2 linked regions of the Callithrix jacchus genome follow. The protein of the gene in region 1 purifies or fractionates together with the protein of each later gene. This does not show direct contact. Links are inferred from orthologs where the notes say so. Each region holds a gene or a part of one and is shown on either strand. Other genes may lie near its edges.

What was found.
Region 2: the proteins of ABI1 (region 1) and WASF1 purify together in Homo sapiens (affinity purification with mass spectrometry; 6 studies listed by BioGRID and IntAct, with this or other methods). This does not show direct contact. The link is inferred for Callithrix jacchus from reciprocal best matches to the Homo sapiens genes ABI1 and WASF1.

The regions. Positions count from the first base shown.
Region 1 is NC_133508.1:27,143,820-27,148,800, reverse strand, and holds part of ABI1 (abl interactor 1), read left to right. Parts: coding exon 1-86; intron 87-1,351; coding exon 1,352-1,492; intron 1,493-3,892; coding exon 3,893-3,993; intron 3,994-4,981. UniProt on the Homo sapiens protein: May act in negative regulation of cell growth and transformation by interacting with nonreceptor tyrosine kinases ABL1 and/or ABL2. May play a role in regulation of EGF-induced Erk pathway activation. Involved in cytoskeletal reorganization and EGFR signaling.
Region 2 is NC_133505.1:116,282,874-116,287,854, forward strand, and holds part of WASF1 (actin-binding protein WASF1), read right to left. Parts: intron 2,062-4,981; coding exon 1,927-2,061; intron 1-1,926.

The DNA of each region.
Region 1 (4,981 bases):
CCTGCAAGAACTGGCACACTGTCGAGAACAAATCCTCCTACTCAGAAACCGCCAAGTCCTCCCATGTCAGGCCGGGGAACACTGGGGTAAGACTTCAACTAGGTTTTATGAAAGAATTCATATGCTAAAGGAAAAGGTGTTTCTGTGACTTAAGTAAGTGTATGGGATCCTTGCCATACTATCCTCTCTATGTGATGCTACCTTTTACAAATTCACTTCAATTCCTGTTTTCCTGAACAGAATCCCAAATGAATCTGACTGCTTTGTAATATTATCTATAATCTGTACCAGGAAAGTTTTAATATGTATATATATAGTATTATTTATTTTTTTGTCATCTAATTTTTAAAAAATATAAATCTGACTTATTTGTTTTATATTGAATGGTTAGAGTATTCCAGATGGTACCTTTGCATGTGTTTATAATATCTATATTATAGAACTTTGACTAGTGCTTTACTTTTGTGCAGTAAGGCTTACTAGTCCACAGCTCTTCTGTTTCCCCTATTATGTGGCATCTGAGACTTAGGGACTCTTTACTTTAGAAAAGTATGCACTTTATATGTAACTATACTTCTGCTGGTAATCTTAGGTCTCTTCATACTAGAGTAAGCTCCATGGGAAGGCCAGTTGGACAAGTAGAAAAGATAACTGTGGCTTCTTCCTCCTAGTTCTCAGTGTACTAAATATAGTGAATACTTGCCAAGGCATTACATATCTTTAAGATTATTTTTCTTAACACTGGAAATATTATACTGAATTTCTTGCTTTTTGGTGGAAGGGTTGTTCAGCACTCAGTCTTCTTTTAAGAAAGTCTTAGTTTTCATTTTTATTCATTAAACCCTTTGCCCCTGAAAAAAAAAAAACCACATGAAGTTATTAAATGAAAAGTTAAAATCATTTATTGAGAAATTCATGATTAGAATATATGTCTCCATTTATTGACATGTTGAGGTAGGAATAAGTTGCAACTTCTTATGTAAATAAATTTTAGCTTCCTATTTAAAGAACAGTGGCTTATGGGTGACTGAGCTGAGAATAATGTACATTTTAAAGTTTGGTATTACTGAGCATTAAAAAAATTATAACTATAATTTTTAGAAATAAGGTTAGGACTTTAAATTACCCTTTCCTATGTTTTTCATAAGAAAAGGTAACAGATTTTAGTTTGTATGTTAAAGTAACAAAGTTCATATATCCCAGTGAGGAATATTTTTAAAAACTACCAACTTTATTATTATTTTTTAAAATCCTGGTATATATTGTCACAAAGGGAGACTCACATATTTTTGGGAAAAATACTACTTTATCTTTTTAATTCATTATTGCTTTCTCCACTATGCTTCTTTAGACGGAATACTCCTTATAAAACCCTGGAACCTGTTAAACCCCCAACAGTTCCTAATGACTATATGACGAGTCCTGCTAGACTTGGAAGTCAGCATAGTCCAGGCAGGACAGCATCTTTAAATCAGAGACCAAGGACACACAGGTAAGCCTTCAGGTTGAGTGTTTGAACATCTCTGAAGTGGGTGTTACTGACTGGTGTCAAACTCCTATGAAGGTGCTGAGTAAAGGTGAAGTGCCACCTCTAATGCTAATACCAAGTGTAAAAGTTGGTGGCATAATGTTATATGTGTTCCTGTAAGTTTGTGTTATAAGTTCTGCGTTGTGTTTTAGGATTTTAATAACATTCATTGTACTCTTAATGGATTGTTTGTATTTCCTCCTTTTAATAGCGGTACAGATATATATTTGGTTCAAGACTAAAGAATGTTTTAAAATGGTCTTTCAAAAAAGTTCAAGGCAAACCACTCAAATACTTTTGGAGAAAAGATTTAATATTATAGGAATTATACAACATGATTTAAACTTTCAGAGAATGAAGGAAAGAAGATTGAGCTTAAATCTGAGGGAGACTTTATTAAGAGAGTCAGTATACTAGAATATGTTATGTATTTATTATTTTTAAATGTCCTAAAAACTATCCAGTGGGTTTTAAAAGTTTTAGTTATGGGCCGGGCGCGGTGGCGCAAGCCTGTAATCCCAGCACTTTGGGAGGCCGAGGCGGGTGGATCAGGAGGTCAAGAGATCGAGACCATCCTGGTCAACATGGTGAAACCCCGTCTCTACTAAAAATACAAAAAATTAGCTGGGCATGGTGGCACGTGCCTGTAATCCCAGCTACTCGGGAGGCTGAGGCAGGAGAATTGCCTGAATCCAGGAGGCAGAGGTTGCGGTGAGCCGAGATCGCGCCATTGCACTCCAGCGTGGGTAACAAGAGCGAAACTCCGTCTCAAAAAAAAAAAAAAAAAAATTAGTTATGAAGCATAATAAGCATTCAGAAAAGTATCTACTTTATTAAGTATCAGCTTGATGGATGGGCACACACTGATATAACCATCACCCAGATCAGAAAATGGAACATTACCAGCAACCCAGAAGCCCCCTCATGCTCCTTCCCAGTTATCGCATTGACTTTCTTCCCCCAAGATGTAGCCACTTCAATTTTTGAGTGCTTTATAAAACCAGATAAATTTATTATATACCCTAATTTATTTTATTCTTCAGTTTTCTCTCTCACTTAATAACTTGGGCAGAGAACCTCTCTTTTACCTTCACTCTTAGGTTGGTAAATGAGAGAGAACTTATGAAAATGATTTATGGGAATTCCACTAAATAGGGTATATCAAGATGCGAGATGCTAGGTAAGCGATATTTATTACTGTTGCTACTGTTAGTAAACAAATTGTTAAGTTGATAGCTGCAAATTCTGTATCAGGTCAGGTTCATTGAGGAACAAAATTTTTCTCTTTGTTGTTCATGAACTATTGGATCAAAGTATGGTTTTTCTCTATAGTGGAAGCATAGTTCAATCATATTCAACAAGCAGTTATTAAGTGTTGTTCATTAGATGTTAGGCTTATTTCCCAATAAGGTATATTTCTTTTTTCAAGAGCTCATTCTGTTATAACGGGAATCAGCAAACTTTTTTCTTTGAAGGGCCAGATTGTCAATATTTTAGGATTTGTGGGCCATATGGTTTCTGATGCAATTACTCAGATCTGTCATTGTAGCACAAAAGCAGCCATTGACAATACGTAAATGAATGTGGCTGTGTTCCAGTAAAACTTTATTTATAGCACTGAGATTCTAATTTCATGTAATTTTAATGTGTTACAAAATATTATTTCTCTTGATTTTTTTAACTATTAAAAAATTAAAAAACATGTTTTGCTCACAGGTAGTAAAAATTGGGCAGTGGACCAATTTTAGCCCATAGGCTGTAACTTGCCAAGCCCTTGTTGGAAAAAAGGCAGCTTCAGACACTGTGTTCATGACTGCATTGTTCACTGCTCTTCAAAGCGGGTTTTGAATAAACACTTGTTAACTCATTGTACTGTAAGATTTTGTTGGTGATAAATATTTCAACAGAGATGGTTTTAAGTACTATGTTTTTATTATATTGGTTCCAGATAGGTTGAGAAGTGGAACCATTTCAAATATTAAGATTAAGATTTGTGATGAATAGTTAAAAATTTTCTACACACAGACACACACACGCGCCCCTCTGCTTCCTTCCTGCCCTCCCTCGGGTTCTGCATTCCCAGAGTCAGCCAGTCTTGGGTTGAAAATACATTATTCATGGGATGCCGAACCTGTGGATATGGAACACCAACTTTTCATATCCACTGGTTCTGCAGAGCCAGCTGCAGGACTTTAACATCCATGGGTTTTGGTATCCAAGCGGGTTCTTGGAATCGATTCTCCAAGGATACTGAGGGATGACTATATGGCATAAAAGGAGTATTTAGTGGCCTTGGGTGATTACAGCTTTTTAAAAATATGTCTCTAGAATTGCTTTTTCACAATGTTTTTATTTTTTTTCCAGTGGAAGTAGTGGAGGAAGTGGAAGTCGAGAAAACAGTGGTAGCAGTAGTATTGGCATTCCCATTGCTGTGCCTACACCTTCGCCACCCACTATTGGACCAGGTGTGTTATTTATTAATCTATGTTTAACACATGATAGTATTTATGAGTTTTATTCTGGAAGGCTGAAATAAATTAGTCATATTGAGTAAAATTATTAAATTTGTGATTGTTGCTAGAACAAAGGCTGATAACAAAGTTATAAATATTTTTAGATTGCTTTTGACAGAGTCTTTAGGTTTTCACCAGCTGTTTCTCCTTATATATGGTGCATATTAAGTAGTTTTGTTAAACAACTTTTTGTTGGCCATTTTGCTTTAGAAATATATTTATTCCTCAGTGTCCATGGGGTGATGGGTTTCAGGGTTCCCTGTGGATACCAAAATGCATAGATGCTCAAGTCCTTTCTATAAACTGGTGTAGTGTTTGTATATAACCTACACACTTTCTTTCATATTCTTTAAATCATCTCTAGGTTACTTATAATACCTAATACAATATAAGTGCTAATTAAATAGTTATACTGTATTGTTTAGGGAATAGCGACAAGAAAAATAAGTCTGCACATGTTCAGTACAGATGGAGCCATCCTCTTTTTTCCCCCCGAAATCTTTTCAATCTATAGTTGGTTGAATCCAGCAATGAGGGAACCCATGGATATGGAGGGCTGACTGTATTTGCCTAGTGCACTAGTCAACAATGATAGTTATTATTTCAAGAGCAAAGCAGTATTATACGATACTCCAACTGGAGAATCAGTGTTTATAAAGGTGAATTATGTTTCTAAGAGTTGCCTTGCAGGGCACTATATACTCTGGTGTTTGCTTATTTTGTGACTTTACTACATTTATCTATGATATTCAGTATATATTTCAGTAAAATGCAATAAATGTAAAATAAGATTAAAATAGGAAAGTTATTTTACTTTTTAGAAAGTATAAAAATTTAAGAACTCCCTGGAGAGCATTAAATTAGCCCTTTGATTTTTAGTAAATGAAATGGAGACTTTTTATATTGTTAAAAATGTATATTTTAAAATTATGATAACGAA
Region 2 (4,981 bases), on another chromosome or scaffold:
TTTTTAACATAAACATCTTTATTTACTGTAATCTGTATTTTCACTTTCAAGTTTAAGGTGGTTCTAATATTGTTAAAATGTAACAATATTTTGAAACTACATGTTGATTTTTATTTCTGTTACATATGAGAACAGCCTATGTATTTCTGTATTATTTGCTGGCATAAGTTTATATTTAAGTTATAAATATTTGAGTTATCTAAAAAATAAATTTTGGCTATAAATTATGTATTTGAAAAGATGACCATAAAATATTTTTCACCTCTAACTACGATTTCATTTCAAGAATTCCATGAGATGCAATTAATGTATTAATATATGCACATGTTTTGAAGGATACCACCAAGAAAGACAACCTAAAGAATGGGAGAAAATATTTGCAAATCATATATTTGACAAAGGACTTAAATCCAGAATATAGACAGAATTCTAACAACTCAAAAATAAAAACGCTAATATCAATGGGCAAAGGAACTAAATAGACATTTATCCAAAGAAGATATACAAATGGCCTATAAGCACATGAAAAGATGCTCAACATCATTAGCCATCAGGGAAATATAATATAAATATATGTACATGGATGAACCTTGAAAACATTATGGTAAAAGAAGCCAGTCATAAAAGACCACATATTTCATATGAAATATACAGTACAGGCAAATCCATATAGACAGAAACATCAGCGATTGCTAAGGGTTGAGCTGAAGGGGAAATAGAGTGACTGCTAATGAGTACAGGACTTCTTTCTGGAGTGATACAAATATTCTAAAATTCATTGTGGTGAAGGCTGCATAACTATTGAATATAATAAAAAATTGTACACTTCAACTTTAAATGGATGCAAGGTATACGTAGGTTGTTAAATATATCTTAATAAAGCTATTTTTAAAGTATTATTTCATTTTTTTCTTGTATCCAGAGCTCTGAGTTTTTATTTTTGCAAGCAGTAGAAATCTAGTGTGCTAAGTATTTGCCTCTCCTTATTTACACATTAGATTATTTCAAAAGGAGCTGGTTCCATCACTGAGACATTCATTATAACATTGTATTTTTTTGTTCTTTCCAGTGACATCCTTTAATATTTTTATTGTTAAAGTTTAGATCTATTATATAATCTGCATTTATACTAAAAATTAGATTATATAATTTGCATTTGTACTATTTAATGCAACAAAAATATTTTGAAGGGAGTGTTGTAAGAAATTCCACTAAGCAATTCTCTGTGGTAGATAAGTGCAAATTATGTTCTTAGTACTGCATTTCTTTTTGTAAAACAAAGAAAAAGACACATTTGGGAAACATTGGCATTCAATGTATTCTATCAAGGCATAAAACATGATTTTTACCACGAAAGTTTCTACAAGTATTTTAGCCTACAGAGTGGCTTTTTTACCTGATTATTCCTGATTTAATATCTTGGTATAGAATGCTTACACCCTAACTGGCAATTTGTTTTTGAAATGTTCATTTAAAGTAGGAAGTTGCATTCGGTTAAATAATTAATAAGACTTTAGCAATATGCACATACAAAAGCATTTAAAAGTGGTTACATTCTTGTAAAATCAAACCTAAAGATTTCAGGTAATTTTCTAATAATTTTTATTTCTAAGACAAAAGTGTACAAATAAATTACAAGGGAGAAAAGATAAAGAAAATGGAGGAAAACATCTGATTAAAACATCTTTTTTATGTTAAAAAAATTAGGAGCTGTTTAGTGTACAAAAAGAAGATATTTAAAATAGAAAAGCCAGGACACTAATACTGATGGCATTTTTAGATAATTAACTGATTTATTACAATATGTACACCACAGAACATGGGTAAGATCTGGAATAAACTCACAATATTGTTCTTAAATATATCATTCATCTCATCTAACTTAAAATATACACACAGAAAAAAATACAATATTAATAAGCTTACATTCTTCTTCCTTTGGATCAAGCTGTGTAACACTAACAGATAAACGGTCCACACGTTCTTGTAATGAGTTGACTCTGAAGGAAAAACTATGTGCTTCATTAAATAATTCTCCAAATATATCTTCAGCATATTTACCTAAGCAAAAATGAAACATATATCATAAAATTTAATATCCAGAGCACTGAGTTTTTATCTTTGCAAGCAGTAGAAATCTAAAATGGTATCTGCCTCAGATACTTTGTGATCAGAGATAAACACTGAACAATGTAACATTAAAACTGGTGTCCTGTTGGAATTTGGCATTTATTTGGAACTACAATTGACCCTTGATCAACATCAACTGTGCTAGTTCACTCATACGTGGATTTTTTTCCAATAAAGATATTTAAAATTTTGGAGACTTGAGACAATTTGACAAAACTTGCAGATGAACCACATAGCCTTAACATTATTTTAAATATATGTTATGAATGCATAAAATATATGTAAATACTAGTGTTTTATAATTTACTACCATAAAATATATAGAAATCCATTATAAAAAGTTAAAATTTATCAAAATTTACACACAAAACACAAACACAGTGCCATTCATAGTCAAGAGAAATATAAAGAAATGTAAAGATGTTATCAGGTTGGCGCAAATGTAATTGCGGTTTTTGCCAACTTAATAATACCAAATAGTACTATATCTTAACAATAAATTTAAATGTAGTAATTCTGTATTACTGTAATAATTTTATAACCACCCTCTGTTGATACTGCAGTTAGTTCTAGTGTTGTATTTCCTTAAAATGCTGTTTGAGCAGTTCTCTCTCCACTAAATTGCCTATGAGAGTAGGAAGTAATCTCTCATGGTTCTTTTGTATTTTTCATCATGTTGCATGCAATACCGCAAACCTTGAATACACCGTGGGCCTCATTTAGTGACGCTGGAAGTACTCTCAAGTACAAAAATGTCATAACATTATAAGAAAAAGTTGAATTGCTTGATATGAACCACAGATTAAGGTCTACAGCTGTGGTTGCTTAACATTTCAAGATAAATGAATCAAACTGAAGGGCAATTATAAAAAAAGAAAAGGGGTGGGGCGGATCCAAGATGGCCAAATAGGAACAGCTCTGGAGTGTAGTTCCCAGCGAGAACAACGCAGAGAGTGGGTAAACACCACATTTCCAAATGAGTTATTACTGCCCACAGACCAGGAGATTCCCTGGCTGAAAAGTGCCATGAGTTTCCAGCATGGCTGTTTCAGCTGGTGCAGTGGGTCTCCACAGAAAAACTCACACAAATCTGGGTGACCGTTTCAACTGGCGCCTGAAATGACTGGAAGACAGAAATGCCCATTCAACTGAAAAAAAAAGAGGGGGGGGCTGAAACGGAGCCAGGTGATCTGACTAGGCGGGTCCCACCCCCACAAAGACCAGTATTCTGAAGTGCTCTGGATTGAGCGCTTCGCAGCAAGCGCAGCTGGACCCCAGATGGTCCAGCTCTGTTGGGGAAAGGGCATCCGCCATTACTGAGGCAGTCCTCCACTACTGAGGCAGCTCACCACTACCGAGGCAGCCCGCCACTACAGAGGCAGTCTGCCATTACCAATGCAGTTCTAACTATACCTCTATAAACAAAACAGCAAGGAAGTTCACACAGCTGCTGGGCAGAGCCCGTGGCAGCTCAGGAATGCCTCTGCTGGCAGACTGTGGCTAGACTACCACCATGCTGGGCAGGGCAGCTCTGAAAAAATGCAGCAGCATGACAGGAACTACAAAGCCCCATCTTACCATGACAGAGCACCTGGGTAAAAAGGTGGTTATGAGTTCTGCTGCAGCAGACTTAAATATACTTGTACAGAAGCTCTGAAGAGAACAACGGAGATCACAGCTCAGCATTTGAGCTCCTATAAGAAACAGACTGTCTCCTCAAGCAGCTCCCTGAACCTGTATATCCAAAGAGACACCTCATAATGGAGAGCTCAGGCTGACATCTGGCAGGTATCCTTCTGGGACAAAGATAACAGAAGAAGAAACTGGCAGCAACCCTTACAGTTCTGCAGCCACCACAGGTGATCCCCAGGCAAGCAGGGTCTGGAGTGACCTCTAGCAGTCTTATAGCAGAGGAGCCTGACTGTTAGAAGGAAAACTAAAAAACAGAAAGAAATAACTTCATCATCAACAAAAAGGATGTCCACTTAGAGACCCCATCCGAAAGTCATCAACTACAAAGACCACAGGTAGATAAATCCACAAAGATGGGAAGAAACCAGTGCAAAAAGGATGAAAATACCAAAACCAGAATGTCTCTCCTCCATGGGATCACAACTCATCACCAGCAAAGGAACAAAGCTGGATGGAGAATGAGTCTGATGAAGTGACAGAAACAGGCTTCAGAAGGTGGGTAATAAAAAACTTCTCTGAGCTAAAAGAACATGTTCTATCTAACTCAATGCAAAGAAACTAAGAACCTTGAAAAAAGCTTTGACAAAATGCTAACGAGAATAAACAGCTTAGAGAAGAATATAAATGACTTAATGGAGCTGAAAAACACAACACAAGAACTTTGTGAAGCATATGCAAGTTCAAAAGCCAAATCGACCAAGCAGAAGAAAGGATATCAGAGACTGAATATTAACTCAATGAAATAAAATGAGATGGCAAGATTAGAGAAAAAGGAGTGAAAAGAAATGAACGAAGCCTCCAAGAAATATGGGGTTATGTGAAAAGACCTAATCTATGATTAATAGGTGTAGTACACCTGAATGTGACAGAGAGAATGAATCCAAGCTGAAAAACACTCTTCAGAATATTATCCAGAAGAACTTACCCAACCTAGCAAGGCAGGCCAGCATTCAAGTCCAGGAAATACAGAGAACACCACAAAGATATTCCTCAAGAAGAGCAACCCCAAGGCACATAGTCATCAGATTCACCGGGGTTGAAATGAAGGAAAAAATGCTAAGGGCAGCCAGAGAGAAAGGTCAGGTTACCCACAAAGGGAAGCCCATCAGACTCACAGTGGATCTCTCCTCATAAACCCTACAAGCCAGAAGAGAGTGGG